Linked DNA regions of Sus scrofa. Each later gene encodes a partner of the first gene's protein in a complex. Links are inferred from orthologs where the notes say so. Each region holds a gene or a part of one and is shown on either strand. Other genes may lie near its edges.

Region 1 (9,155 bases):
AGTGTGGTTTTGAGAAGGAATCACATTAGATGTGTTTGTTCAAATTGCTGCTTCCTTTCTGGAATCTGTTTTTTGTTTTTAACCTCTTCACATGATTTAAGTTCACCTGAAAAACTGTTCTAATATGTTGGTGACTCTGGGAAAATTATTTAAACATGGACAATAGAGGTCAAAATGCCTGCACTTCATATTACTTGAATATTATGAAAAATAGTCCAAATGATGTGTGCCCACTCAAGAATGTGCTGTATAACCTAAGGTTTATTGCTATCTTCTTAAAGGAAGATACAACTTTACTATTAGTAGGAAGAGTTGTTTTTTTCATTAAAGATGATTTTCCATCAAAGATGATGCACAGAATGATGATCTCTCCTTGTCCCTCACATCCAACTCAGCTTTTGGGTTAGTGAAACAGTACACAGATTTGTATCTTTCCATGACAAGAGGTCATCAAAACACTAAATGAAATGACATAAGCTGATGAATTCAGTCTTACGTTCTAACCAAAACAATAAAGATGTTATGCTGTTAGTTAGGTATGTTCTGTTCATGTATGTGGAACTGTGTATGAGTTTTTCTAGATCTCCTTCCAGACATCTGCATTAATGATAATATCAAGTTAGCAAGCCACACCATTCAGAAGAGACAGGAAATTAATATTCCTGAGAAAAGAGGAAATTAGATACTATTTGAGGGCATGAGGCATCCAGCTTCTAATGAAAAACAAATTTTAATTTACATAGAATTACCACCTTCAAAGTGTGTAGTAAATACTGAGCTTTCTTTTCACACTTTCAAAGGCTTAAAGCACTGCACAGGTGACTTGCAAGCTACTTGCAATTCCAAAATACTATAATTTTACCATCAACTGGGATTTAGGAAACCTGGATTCTAGTCCCAGTTCTTTCCCTAACTTGGCTATGTGACCCCAGGCATGATATTCAAGCTTGCTTGGATTCCATCTATAAAACAATAATTTCTATCATTCTTTCATCATTGATTTCCTATTTCTGGTAAAGGAGCAAAAAGTAAATAAATAAAAATTTATTCATTTAGATAATTTAAATATATTTTAAATACTTATGTAAAGACTTTTTGTCCTGGGTGTCAGAGTTTAGTCTGAATACCAATCAACACCATGGAAATCCTACCTTTAAATGTGTCAGTTTAATCAAGAAATACAGTAACTAAAAGCACATTTAATGTAAATGTAGTTTTCTTTCATCTGAAATTGTCAGGTAAAGTAGGACTCCCATCTAAACCCATGGGTTTTTTTTTTTTTAATTTTTAGATTTAAAATTTTAATGAAGACTTTTTAAGCAGGGTGTGAGATATACAATCTTGCTTTCTATTTTTTATATCTCATGTGATCAAGATCTCATTTTTGTAAAATATTTCATTATTGCATACTGGTTGGTCATAAAATGAACCTTACTGTACTGCAGCAACTAGATTTTTCCACCTCTTAGAGGAAGGATTTAATAGATTAAATTGGCAAATAAAATGGTTTCACGATAGAAATGAAAGGGACTTTCACATCCTACTCAGAATTACCAGTTTTATGGAGGATTAACGTGAGAGCTGCATGCTTTGATCTTATTGCACCTGGGTTCAAATCCTAGCTCTTGTTACTATCTTGTTCTGTAAATTCTAGGCAAGCCATTTAATTAGGGGTCAGCAACCTCGCTTCCAATGAGTTGTCAGGATTAAATGAAATCATCAAAAGCATCCTAAAAAGAAAATATACAAACAGCACTGCTATGACTGGTTCAATTATTTAAGTGCCTGTGTAGAGCTGGAAGGGCAGGAACCCTATCCTATTTTATTCTTTCTGAACCCCATCTTGTTTTTTCAGAGCCAAGAAGCCCAAGGTGATTTATGCATCAGTCCACATACTTCACCATCATCGGAAACAGCCTCCTCATTCATTAATCTTTCTCAGGCCTTGCTTTCAACCAGAACAGAGAGCTGCCATACTCTAAGATTCAGACATACTCTACTTTTTATGTTCACTATCAAGCTTCTTCTCTTGTGAGGCAACATCAAGAACAGAAACCTATCTGGAAGATAAGGATGAATGAACAGTTTGAAACCACTGACTGCTCTCTAATGGCTTTCTAAGCCTACAGGTGTGAACCGGGCAGATGAAGTCAGCAGTTCTCAAAAGCATAGAGCATGACATGCACTCTCCATGAGGCGTCATTCCTTTTAAGGAAGACTTTTCGCTAGAAAAGTGCCTGAAAATGTCGGACAGATGTTTGGGGAAAGAATGGAAATCCTAGATATAAGACTCTGTTGGTGTTATTGCTGTACGTTACACAGGAAACTGACTAGGGGGTGGGGCCGGCTCTCATTTGAGTACTCTGCATTGCTACCCGGTGCCAGAGCTGGTCTCCGGTAAGGAGGACTAAGACGGCCTACCATCGACCTGATGTCGACTGGGGTTTTGAATCAGGAAGGGTGAAACAGAAGTAGTGTTTCTGCGATGGGACAAAATAAGGCCCCTTACAGCCACGCACGTCTGCAACAAGCACTCCTCGGACAGTTTCTCCCCAATCCCTTCCCTTAATGAGAGAGCGCGCGCTCGTGAAGGGCCATTACCATCCTGCAGGATGAGGGTGGGCTGCACCGCCTGCACTCGAAACTGCCTGGCCCTCCAGCCGGGGCTCGGAGCCCGGACCACCTCACTGTCGGACAGCCAGGTCACGGTTTCAAAGTTGTCCCCGCGAGCCAGCGCCTCGGCCTCGGCGTGGTGCACTGCCACCCGGTCGAACTGGTAGAGGCCGCCGGAGTGGTCGAAATGCACGTGAGTGGCCACAGCCAGCAGTGGCCGGCATGCCGCATCCTCTTTGGCCTCGCGGTCCTGCAAAAGGCCAGAAGAGTACAGGTACTCCGGGAGGCTGCGCAGGCCCAGGCCTGTGTCGATCACAACGTCTTGCTCCGAGCCTCGCACTAGCCAGATGTTGGCGCGGTTGCCTGACTCATAGAAGCGTTCCTGAATCCAGAAGATACCGTCGCCCAGAGACTTGTGGGCGTACCACTCGAGCGCCGACATGCTGAGTAGGGATGCGGCCAGGCGGAGTGGGTGTGGGCGTGTGTGCCTCCTGCAGGCTGCCCAGACTCCGGCGCTGCGGCGGGATAGACTGGTCTGCCTGCAGTCGGGAAGAAGGCGCAGAGCAAGAAGGGGGCGGGGGATGCAAAAGGAGTGGGAGGAGAACTGGGAGGAGGAAGGACTCTCGGAGACGCTGCCTTCCGCACCCTCCCTCCCGGTCCGCAAAGAACAGAGACCTATCTCCTTGCACCCCGGTGCAGAAACAATCGCAGCATCAGAGGCCACAGCAGAAAGTAGCGTCAATTCAGTAGACAAGGGATTCAGAAAGCGACACTCTTCCTACCGCCAGGTGTTTGACTGTAGAGGGCAGGGGCCAGGTTTGGAAGGCCCCAGGGCCGCCCACACACCGCGCGCCGTGATGCGCACTTCCAGCCGGCGCAGAAAGAGTCAGGCCAAGGAGGTTGGACCGGTACGGTTCCCGCCAAGGGATAAAAAGCTCTCTCCCCAGAGGGCGGGGCCTACCTAGCGAGTGGGCGGAGCTAACTGGTGCGATCGGAACGCGATTCTGAGGCCTCGTGGAGGGCGGAGCGCGTTTTTCCAGAGGTGGAACCAGCACTCGGCGTCGGAACCTTCTGTCCGCACCCCTTCCTTGCCGGCCGGCACTTCGGCCGCACAGTTTTCTCAAGCTTCGAGACTTAGTAAGCAGGTAACAGAGGAGGCAATGGAGGGGTTGGGAGGAGATGGAATGAGTAGGGGGGGGAGTTAAAGGGGCACGTGGAAAAGACCGGGGAAGGCAGGAGTGGAGATTCATTAAAGAGCCTCTGGATTGAGGGACGTAGCGAGATCTCTTAATCCCTTCACAATCTTTTGAAATCGTCGTTCCAGATTTTATCTTGTCTCCACTTATTAGGACTGTTTTCAGTGAGTTCGAAGGGAATTTATGCTTTTACTGATGGTTGATTTTCAATTCCGATGGTATGATTGCTTCAAACACGAGTCATTGCCGCAGACTTGCTGCTAAGGACGCACTATTCAGTACGTTTTTTGTTTTTTGTTTTTTACCGTTAGCACTTTACCCTGTACTGTGAGGAGAGGTGTTGTTGATAAGGTTTTACTTCTCTTCTGAAAAATTAAATTATATATTCCTTCCCCTCCCCTTCCTTGTTTTGGTTACTTTGCCCGCTGTTGGAAGAGAGCAAAGAAAGTTGGTAGAAAGGCTCAACTAAGGAAGGGTGGAGGCAGCTGCACCTTGTGAGGGCAGGAAAAGTGGATAATGATTGGGTGTGGCCCCATCAGCTGAAAAAATCATCCCTAGTATTAACATAAGGTCCCTGTCCCCATCCCTCAGCTCCTCGCTGTTGGTATATCCATTCAGACTTAAACAATTCCCTTGAGAACTCGACTAACCTCCCTATCCAGCCAGGAAAAATTATAAAGAGACCCATGAGACAGCATTATAAAAGATAATTATGAAAACCCTTATTGTCTCAGCTACTAATAAGCCTTCATAGAGGGAGAGGTGTTCTCTCCTTCCCTATAAACCTTAAGTCTTTGAGGGGGATGCAACTTTTCTGAATGTTTACCTAACCTAGTTAGAATTTATCCAGACACTCTGTTCAGGGCTATCCTTATGTACAAGTCCCTCAGCTAAATGATGTGTGAAAAACAGAATTGTGTTGTTTTTTTTTTTTTTTTAAAGTCATGATCTGGGTTCTCAGGAATTTGAGGGAAGCAATATCTTCACAAAAATGTTTGCAGTAAAAAGCAAATGAGATATGTACCCCAGAGGAAGTAAAAACCAGGTGCTATGAGAATATGCATGGAAGGGACTGATGAGTAGAGGCATTTGAGCTGGCCTTAAAAGACCACTGTTGTTAGGATGTTCTCAGCACGAAAGTAGAGAGCTCTCTGTAGTTTTATTTTTCCTCTAGGTAAAGGGAGGTGAATTGGAGTGATATTCTTACTAAGCCATGAGCTCAGCAATAATTCATCCAATTTTTATTGGACTTTTGCCAGGCTCTAGTTGGTGATGGGGCAGGAAGAGGTGAATAAATCTTCAAAGAGGCCTTCACACTTACAGATCCTTCTGCTTGTATTACACTTTCCCTTGTATATCCTTTCCTGATTCTCAGCATGGCCTTTTCCTTCTGTCAGTTTTGTGCTCAAATATTACAGAATACAGGACCTCTTCAACCACTCTTTCTGTAATAGCACCCATGTTTCCTGCTTTTTTTTTCCACATCACTGATCACTACCTGACATTTTCTATGAAATATTTTTTCCCTTTCCTGTAGTAGACTCTAAGCACCATGAAAACAGGGGTTTTGTTTTATTCACTATTATATTCCCAATTCATAGAAGATGGCCTGACCTAAGAGTGCTTAATTAATACTTGAAGAAGGATAACTGAAGAACTTATGGGGAGACAGACAAGAACTGATGATTACAACATGCTTTTTAAATGGTAATAAAACAGGGTAGTATTTGGGAGACAGAAAAGAGAGAGGCCTAGCTCCACTTAGGGTGGAGGAAATGGTCTCAGAGAAGTGGCATTTGCATGGTATCTTAAATGATGATGGGGCTTGCTCAGGTGGATGTGGCATCCCAGCAGAAAGAACACTACAAGCAAGAGCTGATATGGCAGATTTGGGAGTGGTCAGGAAAGGAGAAGGTGCCAGATGCACAAAGTCAGACTCCAAAGCTCTGTTGCTTAAGAAGGAGAGTGAAACATCAAGGTTTATGTTCTAGAGGGATGTCTGGAGAGTGGTTTGAAAGAGGAAGTCTGGCTATGGGAAGGTTGGTCCGGGTCAGGGATGGTGAAGAAAGGCAGATATGTGAAAGGGGACACAGAACTGATAGTCTTCTACCATTAAATGAGGATATCAAGGGAGTCGAGGACAAGGTCAACAGGACCAGCTTCTGAATAGGGCAATTTAAGTGTCATTCATCAGGAAGGATACTGTGACCAGACTTTCAGTGCCTCTCTCAGAATCCATACCTGCTTATATGTTTATTCACTTAGCAAATTTGTGCAAGAGACTGTGAGAAGTGGAAGACAATACATTTAAGCCACAATTATAACTCACAAGGTTAGAGCTAGGAGGAATTTCGGGCATGAGCGCAACCTCTGCCACAAGATTGTTTCCATGCTTTTGCATTTCAGCTCTTGGATGCTTGAACTGCACTTGTCAAACTATTTTAGAACACTTCTGAACAGAAATTTTCAGAAAGCATCCCAGAATGGAAGGGTGGTGCCTCTGATTTTATATTTTTAAATCCAATCCATTTGGTCATTACTATTCCACTTCATTGTAAAGATTAAAGACATCTCTGCGATTTAAAAGGTCTTCAGCTAACCTGGTAGTGTGCTGCAGGCAGCATAATATAAATGCTAAGGACAATGGAAGGGTATCCTGACACTTTAATGCAGTCTTATCTTTGTTAGGAATTAATTCTTTGTCTTTAGGCACTCAATGGACTTCGGACTTCATAGTCTCACTTTCCTCTTCTATATAACAGGAAATTTAGTCTGGAGCAGTGGTTCTTAACTTAGGTTACACGTAATCTCCTGGGATGCCTTAAAAAGTGCTAGGGAGTTCCTGTCGTGGCTCAGCATTAATGAACCCCACTGGTATCCATGAGGATGCAGGTTCGATCCCTGGTCTCAATCAGTGGGTAAAGGATCTGCTGTTGCCAGTGAACTGTGGTGTAGGTCTCAGTCACAGCTCCGATCTCAAGATGCTATGGATCTGGCATAGGTGGGCAGCTGTAGCTCTGATTTGACCCCTAGCCTGAGAACCTCCATATGCTGCGGATGTGGCCCTAAAAAGACAAAAAAAAAAAAAAAAAAAAAAAAAAAAGAAAAAACAAAAGGTCCTATTGCCTAAATCCTATCTTCAGAGATTCTGAGGTGAATGCGTTGTTCCAGCGTGATGCTTGAGAGCTTTTTGTTTGTTGGTTGGTTGGTTTATTTTAACTCTCCTGATGATTCTAGTGTACAGCTGGGTCCCAAACTTATTCTAGAAGTTAAAAACCAAAAACCTTAATAAGTGAGCAGACTGAATTGTATTTCTGTAGGGAGATTTGCTCATAAAATCACAATAAGTAAACAAATAAGGAAAGCTTAACATTGATTATAGAGCTGTTGCTGTATAGAGAGCACTCTTCTAGGTAGTAGGTATATGAAATCTCTGCTGTTAATACAGTGGAAGAAACAAACAAATAAACAAAAATGGAATTGAAACTCCTTCTCTTTGGAAAAGGCCCATTTCCCAAAAGGGGCATTGTCTGTATTTCTTCCAGAATTGAAGAGTGGAACAATATGTATCACCTCAATTTTTAAAAATCCATTTAATTTAACAGGAGGATCTTTCCAGGAGCAAGGTGGAATGAAATGACAGTTGTGAATGTTGAGGGACTTAAGCTGGATCTTAATGTGAAAATGGATGCAGTCAGATAGAGAAGAAGAGGTTTCTCTATTGGAGCAAATGGTAGTTAAGACATGATTACAGGCAAGTGAGTCAGGAGGATCAGTGCAGCCATTTTAAAAGGGCTCTGAATACCTGGCTACGGAGCTGGGATTTAATCTCTAGCCGAGAGGGAAAATGACAAGAGAAGCATAATCAGAATGATGCTTTAGGATGAATAATGTGAGAGAATAAATTAAATAGGAAGAACAGGAGATACCACAAAATTTGCAGCTAGTCAAAAGTGAAGTAGAGAGAGTTCCCATCGTGGTTCAGTGGTTAACAAATCCGACTAGGAACTATAAGTTGCGGGTTTGATCCCTGGCGTTGCTCAGTGGGTCAAGGACCCGGCGTTACGGTGAGTTGTGGTGTAGGTCGCAGACACGGCTCAGATCCCGCGTTGCTGTGGTTCCGGCGTAGGCCGGCAGCTTCAGCTCCGATTTGACCCCTAGCCTGGGAACCTCCATATACTGCAAGTGCGGCCCTACCAAAAAAAAAAAAAAAAAAAAAAAAAAAAAAAGGGAAGTAGAAAAGAGCTGAACTGGATTATGGTAGAAAAAATGGAAAGGAAGAGACTTTTTTTTTTTTTTTTTTTGCATTTTGCCTTTTCTAGGGCCGCTCCAGCGGCATATGGAGGTTCCCAGGCTAGGGGTCCAATCGGAGCTGTAGCTGCCGGCCTTCGCCAGAACCACAGCAACACCAGATCCAAACCGCCTCTGCAACCTGCACCACAGCTCATGGCAACGCCGGATCCACTGAGCAAGGGCAGGGACCAAACCCGCAACCTCATGGTTCCTAGTCGGATTCGTTAACCACTGCGCCACGACGGCAACTCCAGAAAGGAAGGGACATTTTGAAGGAACAATTAGATGATTGATTTCTTAGGAGGTGTGGAACAGAATGAGGAATCAATACTGACTCACTCCAAATCTTCAAATATTGGTCACTGGGAAAATAAAATACCATGGATAGAAATAGGGACATTATACATGAAAGGCAAGCTAGTTAGTATAGAGAGAAGATGATCTCCGTATTTTAAGTTTACGGTACTGTCCAAATATTCTTTTGGTAGTAAGAAAATGGACTAAAACTCAGGACAAAGATCACTATCATTGCTAGAGGTAATGGTGTGGGAAAGATCATCAAACCCTGAGACCGAGTGCTTTTTCCAAAGATAAAAAAAGAGCACAACCGGAGTTCCTGTCGTGGCTCAGTGGTTAACGAATCTGACTAGGAACTATGAGGTTTCGGGTTCAATCCCTAGCCTTGCTCAGTGGGTTAAGGATCTGGTGTTGCCGTGAGCTGTGGTGTAGGTTGCAGACGCGGCTCGGATCCCGCGTTGCTGTGGCTCTGGCGTAGGCCAGCGGCTACAGCTCCAATTAGACCCCCTAGCCTGGGAACCTCCATATGCCGTGGGAGTGGCCCTAGAAATGACAAAAAGACCAAAAAAAAAAAAAAAAAAAAAAAAAAAGGCACAACCAAAGATTGAACCTTAAGAAATCCAGGAGTTCCCGTCCTAGCTCGGTGGTTAACGAACCCAGATAGTATCCATGAGGATGCAGGTTGGATCCCTTTTTTTTTTTTTTTTTGCTTTTTAGCAAAAGAGGGACCTTGCTTTTTTAATCAACTTGAAGACT
Region 2 (9,124 bases), on another chromosome or scaffold:
ACACCGACCTTGAAAATTCAGTTAAGCAAAATGGCAGCCGTTCTTTTCATCAAGAGACTCATATTACAATATGGCATGATGACATTTTGATTTTTTTTTTTTTTTTTTTTTTTTGCTTTTTAGGGCCATACCCACGGCATATGGAAGTTCCCAGGCTTGGGGTTGAACTGGCTCTGCAGCTGCACAGCCACGGCAGCACAGGATCCAAGCCACATCTACAACCTGCACCATAGCTCACGGCAATGCAAGATCCTTCACCCATCGAGCGAGGCCAGGGACACAGCAACAGCATCCTCACAGATACTAGTTGGGTTCTTCATTGCTGAGCCACAACGGGAACTACCTTGAATTGCTTTAAAAGAAATTGTAGGAGTCCCTTCTCTGGGGCTTCCCTAGATTTTCCCTCTTGCACACAAAACCCAAAATATCTACTGTCTGGCTCTTTACAGGAGGAGGAAGAAACCCCTGGGGTAAAAAACCATCGCTTCTCCGACTGACACAGGAGGAAACAAAGGCAGTTCGGCCCCTCAACAGGCAGCAGGCCGGCTTCCCAGGGCATGACCTTCCGTCATCCACGCTGCCTCCAGCAGAGAACGAAACGCGGAGGAAGCAGAACCAACAGCAGAGGAAGACACTAGGGCTTCCTGCGGTGGCGCCGTGGGATCAGTGGCGTCTCTGCGGCGCCAGAAGGAAGCTTTGATCACCAGCCCATTCAGTGTTGCCGCAACTGTGGCTGCGATCTGACTCCTGGCACGGGACCTTCATGGGCGGCAGGGTGGCCAAAAACAAAGAAAAGAAAAAAGACGACACTAGAGGAGTTCCCGTGGTGGCGCAGTGGTTAATGAAACTGACTAGGAACCATTAGGTTGAGGGTTCGATCCCTGCCCTTGCTCAGAGGGTTAGGGATCCGGCATTGCCGTGAGCTGTGGTGTAGGTTGCTCGGATCCCGTGTTGCTGTGGCTCTGGCGTAGGCCAGCGGATGCAGCTCCGATTCGACCCCTAGCCTGGGAACCTCCATAGGCCTCGGAAGCGGCCCTAGAAAAGGCAAAAAGCCAAAAAAAAAAAAAAAAAAAAAAAAAAGACGACACTAGAGACTTCCCCCAGGATAAAATCCCATTTGTGAAACCCGAACAAACAGTTCTGAGACAGAACCAATTACAGAGAACGGGCTCGGGCCTGGTCTCTGTGTTCTAATGATAAGAAAAGACTCATGTAAACCATGGCCCTAACAAGTAATCATCGGCATTCCCTGGTGGTTCAGTGCTTTGAGGACCTGGGGTTGTCACTGCTCTGGCTCAGGTCACTGCTGTAGTGCAGGTTCAACCCCTGGCCTGTGGACACCTGCGTGCCATGGGCCAACCAAAAAAACACATCGTAATTTCAGAGTTCCTATGGGGCTCAGTGGGTTAACAAACCGACATGCTGTCTGCGAGGATGCAGGTTCGATCCTTGGCCTCACTCAGGGCGTGAAGGATCGGGTGTTGCCACAAGTCGCAGTGTGGGTCACAGAGGGGGCTCGGATTCAGTGCTGCTGTGGCTGTGGTATAGGCAGGCGGCTACAGCTCTAATTCTACCCCTAGCCTGGGAAATTCCATGTGCTGCAGGTGCAGCCTTAAAAATAAATAAATAGTAATAATAATAATTTCTTGGAAAGATAAATCCCAAAAAAGTAAAAATCTACAGTGAAGGCATATATATATATACACATATATATTTCTTTTTTTTTTTTTTTTTTTTTTTTTTTGCCTTTTAGGGACGCACCCGCAGTATATGGAGGTTCCCAGGCTAGGGGTTGATTACAAGCTGTAGCCACTGGCTTACACCACACCCAGGAACTGAGCCGCGTCTGCGACCTACACCACAGCCCATGGCAACACCAGATCCTCAGCCCACCAAGTGAGGCCAGGGATTGAGCCCGCATCCTCATGGGTCCTAGTCAGATTTGTTTCCACTGCGCCATGACGGGAACTCCGAAGGCATAAATTCACGTCCCATTATTTCATGAGTGAGACTCCATTATTAAGAGATTTGGCTCAGGGAACTAGAGTCCACCTCCTGTAATCAACCACGATGGAAAAAAACAATGAAAAAGACGAGTTCCCGTCATGGCTCAGGGAAAAGGAATCCAACTAGTATCCATGAGGACGCAGATCTGAGCCCTGGCCTTGCTCAGTGGGCAGCTGGGATGCTGTGGGGTAGGCCAGCGGCTAGTTCCGATTCGACTCCTAGCCTGGGAACCACCACACACCGTGGGTACGGTCCTAAAGAGACAAAAAAAAAAAAAGACCAGGAAAAAAAAAAGACGAAAAAGAATATAATTCAATCACTTTGTTGTACAGCAGTAACTAATCCAACATGTTAAATCAACTAGAGTTTAATAAAACGAATTTCAAAGGAGAGAGAGAAAGATCTGGAAAAGCAATGACATCTGAGGTCCTGAGCAAGAATTCAATCCATCAATAACCAAGATCCTGCCCCCTGCTGGCCCTCAGGTGTCCTTTTCCCCTTTAGAGGAGAGAGATGGACAAAGCATCAAGTATCAAAGAAATACCATCTCCTAAGTTTACCGCAATCCCAGGAATTGAGAATCAAAATAATAAAAGAAAATCCACGCCATTGACAATGTCATAACCACACTAGTCCTACACACAGGAGTCAGTTTTGGATTCTTGTTTTGGGATTTGGCGTCTCCACCTTAAGGCATTTAAAACCCTGAGAAGGTGGTATCGGATTTTAATTTTAAGTAAATATTCAGAATAAACGCTGATCCACCGAGTTTGCAACTAACAGCTAAATACTTAAGGACAGCTAGTGTTCTAAGTCAAAGCCCCATTTTCTTGGGTGTGCCAACATATAAATAAATGTTTACGAGCGTCAGCTGGTGGCGAGAGAAAGCTCACTGCCCACTAAACGGGAAAGATGGATAACAGGACCCTAAATAAGACGCACTTGGTGTGGCCACTGCCCCCAAACACAAGTTCTCCCTGGACGTCAGCAAATTCATCCACTGCCTGGGCGATGGGGGCCATCTCCTGGCCCCCCGGCCGGGCCACTCTGAGAAGGCTGGCTTTCTGCCACACCGGCAAAGATGCTCAGAACCCGCAGTTCCCTTCCAGCTGGGAATCCGCCCTGGGGAATGAGGTGAGCAGATGCTGGGCAGCGGGGCCACCCGGCCCTAGTCCCTCCAGCGGTGTCCACACTGAGCATTGCAGCACTTGTAGAAGGTGGTCATGGGCTCGTCGGCAGAGCGGGTCTGGAGCTGCATGAAATAGGCCCGAGGATGCTCACACTTGGGACACGGCTCTGGCGTGAGAAAAACAAGGGACCCACGGTTACTTCAAAAAGGATGCCCAGTGTGGCACAGAGGCTGAAGAATCCGACTGCAGCGGCCTGGGTTGCGGCTGCGGCGCGGACCAAGTCCCTGGCCGGGGAACTTGTGGCATGTGGAGGTAGCCCAGAAAGGTCACGGTCATAAGGCAGTAAGCCACCTCAAGATTCGAAATCAGGTCTGAACAGCTCCAAAGCTTGTGCCGACACTGGTTTTGGAACAAAGAAAGTATCAAGGAAGGAGTTCCTGTTGTGGCGCAGCGGAAACGAATCCGACTAGGAACCATGAGGTTGTGGGTTCAATCCCTGGTCTCACTCAGTGGGTAAAGGATCTGGCCTTGCTGTGGCTGGGGTGGAGGCCAGCGGCTGCAGCTCTGATTAGACCCCTAGCCTGGGAACCTCCATATGCCGTGGGTGGGGCCCTAAAAAGCAAAAAACAAACAAACCAAAAAAACCACCACATGAATAAATAAAAATTTCTAAGAAATTATTAAGGAAGAAAATATAGACTTCCTCTTCGCAGAAGCACAAGCAGACTGCCACGGAGGGGCAGAGTCAGCAGCCCCGTACCATCCACAGCTCTGCCCGGGAACAGGCCTCTCCCTCTCACCTGCGGTGGAGTCGACGTTCTCCCAGGCAGCTGCTCCACCAAGCACGTCATCCACTTCTTTCAGCTTTGGGTACTTCCGATTCGTTACCTAACAAACAACAGCCACTCTTCAGTCTCTCCAACTGACTGAACCGCACACCCCAGGATCACCTAACCACACCTGCCCGCAGGTGTCTGGCTTCTTCCACCCTTCAACCCGGACGGGAGGGGTACTGGACAGGCAGAGGCCCTGCTCCATCAGAACTTAGAGGACCCATGATTGGACTGCCCCAAGAGAAGGTCTCTGCAAGGACTGGACAAAGCAAGAGGAGCAAGAGAAGCATGGCTCGGGTATGGCCCTCCTCTTCTCCCACACCCCCTAAGGCTGGGTAGCCCGAGACGAGGCCCCAGAGAACTGAGGCCAAAGAAGGGCAATCTCAGCCGGGGAGCCGCCCCCCCCCCCCAGGCTCCGGGCAGAGCTTTCTAAGCACTTGCCAGGTTCTACCAGCCGTCCTTGACCTGTCGGGGTAGGTAAGAGTCCACCCTCCGCGTCGTTTCAGACCCTAAACTCCCACAACACGGCCACATGGCAGGACACTATACAAATCTATACAAATACTAAGGAGAAAGTAGCACTTGGGAGTTCCCTGCTGGCTCAGCGGGTTACCGCCCTGGTTCTGTCCCGGTTCTGTCGCTGCTGTGGTGCAGGTTTGCAGGTGTGGAAAGCGACATAAGCAAAAGAAATCTTGGTGACTCCATTTTGCTGAAATGCCTTCCTGCAACCCCCCCCCCTTCCCTCTTCTCCCAGTAACAGTTTGTTTCAAATTAGCCAACTGGGAAGAACGTGCACCCTGACCTGACCCACGGGAAGGGGACAGGGTACATCCCCTGTGTTAGGGATAAACAGGGGAGGGTCCTTTGTTCGGGGCACGCGCACTTTTTGGGGTGCCCAGCGCCCTTCTGCAGCAGTAAAGAGCCTTGTCGAGATCTCCCCGTGTTCACGTGCCTCATTTTTCGACAATGACGATCCGAGCCACGTCCCCAGCACAAGGAACTTGTGCATGCCAGGGTGCCGGGGGCGCGGCCAAAACAAAAACTAAACAAACAAAAAGAAAGAAAGAAAAGAAAGTATACTGGAAGGCAGTGAGCCCTATATGAAAAATAAAACTAGGGAACGGAAAGGCCGCATTTATATAAACAATCCCTTAGGTAAATACAGGCAGGAGTGACAGGAACGAGTGAGTCCCTAGGGGAAGAGCGACTAGAACAGAAAACTCCTGCACAGACCCTGGAAGCAGCGCCTTGGGCAAGACCGGGGCGCCTCCGAGAGGCTGGCGGTGCGGGCAAGAGGCTGCTGGGACGCGAAACCCAAGCAGAGGACGGAGCTAGGGGAGGTGAGGGTCAGGGCCTGGCGCGCTCCGCGAGAACGACGGCTGCGGCCCTGCGTGCCGGGAGGCCGGCGCGGACCCACCTTGCGGGTGATGTTGTGCACATAGGGGCAGGTGTTGCAGGCGAAGCGGTGGCAGCGCTGACCCTCCTCCACAATCAGCCCGTTCCCGCAGCCTGGGCAGAAGAGCAGCATCACGACAGCCCAGCCTACGCTCCCTGCAGCTCCCTGGCCGTGGACTCCGGGGGCTTCCGGGCGCCCCGAACTCCCCATTGGTCCCGGCGGCCGCCTCTCAGCAATCAGCCCACCAGTAGGCACGTCGGCTCCGCACTCCCAGTGTGCACTGCGGCAGGCTGGCTCCCAAAGCATCATTTCTCATTGGTCCTGGCGGTAGCCCCGCCCCTCGACCAAAGGCCGGGCCGTGGGTGGCTTTCCCCGCGGGAAGCCCGGGAATCCCGGGCCCGGGTCGCGAGAGGCGGTGTGGGGGCGGAACCCGCGGGCTGCGAGGCGCCCTGGAGGTGGCGGGGGCCTCGGGACGGCCAGAGCCGCAGGAGGACGAGGAGGATGAGGAAGAGGCACTGCCGCACTCCGAGGCGGTGGACGTTTTCCAAGAGGGTCTGGCCATGGTGGTGCAGGACCCGCTGCTCTGCGACCTTCCGATCCAGGTGCGCATGGGTCGGGGCCTCTTCCCCCGCTCCGGAGCCCAGCGTCAGGGAGAGGACCGATTCTGGGGTACCGATGATGGCAGCGGCCCGGAGACCTCCAGAAGCGGCCTCAGGGCGTAAACGAGGGTCTAGGCTCCGACTGGGCCTGGGAGGCGAGCGAGGCACTGGTCTCCGGCGCGGCATTTACGAAGGGTTCCCTGGTAGTCTAGCGGTTAAGAACTCCGCCATTGTCACTGCTGTGGCTCGGGTGCTGCTGGGCGTGCGTTCGACTGGCAGAGGAACTCTCGCATGCTGCGGGCATGGCCAAAAAAAAAATAAAAAAGGAGCGCCAAAAACCCGCTAGTCAGGACACATGACATTTCAGTATAGTGTTTTGGTTGGTTTAGGAGGTTTTTTGTTGTTTCGGCTTTTTGTTTTTGTCTTTTTAGGGCCGCACCTGGGGCATATGGAAATTCCCAGGCTAGGGCTGGAATCCGCTGGCCTACACCACAGCCACAGCAACTCAGGATCCAGAGCGGCATCTGCGACCTTCAACACAGCTCATGGGCAACGCAGGATCCTTGACCCACTGAGTGGGGCCAGGGATGGAAACTCCAGTACAGTGTTTTTAAAACTCAACATTGGTTTATAAAGACCTAGGGTAAACAAAATGATATCATGTCAGATAAAAAGACCAGTATTAAAGATTTCTGGAGTTCCCATCATGGCTCAGTGGTTAACGAATCCGACTAGGAACCATGAAGTTGCAGGTTCGACCCCTCCCTGGCCTTGCTCAGTGGGTGAAGGATCTGGCGTTGCTGTGAACTGTGGTGTAGGCTAGTGGCTACAGCTCCGATTAGACCCCTAGCCTTGGAACCTTCATATGCCGCCAGTGCAGCCCTAAAAAACCAAAAAAATGAAAAATAATAAAGATTTCTCCATTCTCCTCAGGCTTCAGTATGACCTGGCACACTCCTGTTTTTAAATCTTTGTATTTTGCCCATCATGAAAATGTTAAATTAGTTTGTTTTCTTGATAGTGGTATTCGTCTTCTGTTGCCCCGGTAAATGTTGCACCCCTGCCCCAGCCTTGCCTGGGGCCCCAGGGCCTGAGGGTTTTTTTGGGGGCAGGGGGAGCCCTCCCAGGCTGGGCACTCAGGCCCAGGGCTGCCCCTCCCATCCAGCTGCTGGGCCGGAGGAGCAAGGGCTGCTCCTCAAGGAGGCTGTTTCTCTGCTCTCCTCTCCCGGGTCTCCGCCTCCTTGGCAAAGGTGACCAGGACTTGAGATGGAGGTGCTGAAACACTGGGACCCCCCCTAACCCGTAGGCAAGAACGTTCCCCAAATATGGTACCGCTTTGTTTGAATGATGGGCTGGTTCTTCTTCCCTTTTGTTTGGGGCGGTGAAGCAAGCTCCCGCCCCCAGCCTGGGTCTCTTCTAGGTTACTTTGGAAGAAGTCAATTCCCAAATAGCCCTCGAATATGGCCAAGCGATGACAGTCCGAGTGTGCAAGACCGATGGAGAAGTCATGCGTAGGTGCCGCCTCCTACCATCTCAGGCTGAGGGGCGGAACTCGGGGGAGGGCCTTAGCAGGGCCGGTCAGGGGCAAAGTCGGGGCCTGGCCCGGGGCCTTGGGAGAACGCGAGGGCTCCCTGGCCAGACTTGAGCCTCAGGAGGAAACAGGGCTCAGCAGAGCTCATGGCCCTCTTGCCAGCGGGGGTGGTGGCTGCGGATCCCCACCGCAGGTCTTCCTGCTTGCAGCTGTGGTTGTCGTCCAGAACGCCACAGTCCTGGACCTGAAGAAAGCCATCCAGAGATACGTGCAGCTCAGGCAGGAGCGAGAAGGAGGCGTTCAACACATCAGCTGGTGAGTGGAGCCGCGGCTCCTCGCAGCCCTTCCTGGGAGAAAGTGTGGAGCCCACTGAGCGCCTGCGGGACATGGGCTCGTCCATCGCCCAGGCTCCGCTGCAGAGCGCAGGCCAGAGCACTGACTCCCTGCCCCAGGTTCACACGGGTCTGGAACCGGGCAGCCACGTGTCTTCACGTGGGGCTCCCTCAGGGCCCTTCCCGTGAGTGCGGAGGTGGTGTCCGTTGTCTCAGATGGTGCAGTGTCCGCCCCTTGCCTGGGTGCTGTCAGCCCTCAGTCTCCTTCGGGATCAGCCGTGTCATCTCAGCACAGCCGCTGTTTCCTTAGCGAGGGGCCTGCTCCCAGCCCCCCACGCATCCCTCAGAGCAGTGCCTCCCCGTTCCCGCCTCAGGCCTGGGGCACGCATGGTCCAGGGCAAGATCCCACAAGAGGGGCCTGGCTGCCATGGGCCCTCCTCACTCTGCTCCCAGGTCACGAGTCCCCATCTTGCAGGTCCTATGTGTGGAGGACATACCACCTGATGGCTGCGGGAGAGAAGCTCACAGAGGACCGGAAGAAGCTCCGAGAGTAAGTCTAGGCCGTATCCTGAGCTTCAGCACTGTTGCCCTCTTGTTCCCTGTGCTCTGCCCTCGGGCTCGCGTCCCCCCAGGGGCTCTTAAAGGAAGGTGGATCCTTGGAGTTCCCGTCGTGGCTCAGTGGTTAACGAATCCGACTAGGAACCGTGAGGTTGCGGGTTCGATCCCTGGCCTCGCTCAGTGGGTTAAGGACCCGGCGTTGCGCTGAGCCGTGCTGTAGGTCGCAGACGCAGCTTGGATCCCGCCTTGCTGTGGCTCTGGCGTAGGCCGGTGGCTGCAGCTCCGATTGGACCCCTAGCCTGGGAAACTCCATGTGCCGTGGGAAGCGGCCCTAGAAAAAGGCCAAAAGACAAAAAGGAAAAAAAAGGAAGGTGGACCCTAAATCAGTTCCCGGGGAGTGTGGGGGGTGGGGGGTCCTTGGTTGGACTGAGGCCCCCTGCCAGGTGGGCGGAGGCAGAGCAGCAGCGCCAGGCCCCTGCTAGTGGCAGTTCCGGGCAGCAGAGCCAGGAGACAATTCAGAGTGCGAGGCGGCAGGAGGATGGCCGCTGCCCCCTCCCCACCTCGATGACGCCACGCTCGTGCCGCCTGGTCTCTGCTGCCCTCACAAGCCCAGGGTGCGGGGTCACCACAGCGACTTTCCTTCTCTCTCAGTTACGGCATCCGGAACCGGGATGAGGTGTCTTTCATCAAAAAGCTGCGACAGAAGTGAGTCTCTAGACAGGGACGCCTCCTGTGCTG

What was found.
Region 2: POLR3G (region 1) and POLR3K share a complex: the UniProt entries of both Homo sapiens proteins name them as parts of the RNA polymerase III complex. The link is inferred for Sus scrofa from reciprocal best matches to the Homo sapiens genes POLR3G and POLR3K.

The regions. Positions count from the first base shown.
Region 1 is NC_010444.4:97,644,637-97,653,791, forward strand, and holds the start of POLR3G (DNA-directed RNA polymerase III subunit RPC7), read left to right. Parts: upstream 1-3,619; 5' UTR 3,620-3,758; intron 3,759-9,155. Other genes in the region: MBLAC2 (metallo-beta-lactamase domain-containing protein 2), read right to left, coding at 2,602-3,055. UniProt on the Homo sapiens protein: DNA-dependent RNA polymerase catalyzes the transcription of DNA into RNA using the four ribonucleoside triphosphates as substrates.
Region 2 is NC_010445.4:41,568,225-41,577,348, reverse strand, and holds POLR3K (DNA-directed RNA polymerase III subunit RPC10), read right to left. Parts: upstream 5,621-9,124; 5' UTR 5,577-5,620; coding exon 5,388-5,576; intron 4,026-5,387; coding exon 3,938-4,025; intron 3,304-3,937; coding exon 3,176-3,303; 3' UTR 2,305-3,175; downstream 1-2,304. UniProt on the Homo sapiens protein: Core component of RNA polymerase III (Pol III) which synthesizes small non-coding RNAs using the four ribonucleoside triphosphates as substrates. Can mediate Pol I proofreading of the nascent RNA transcript.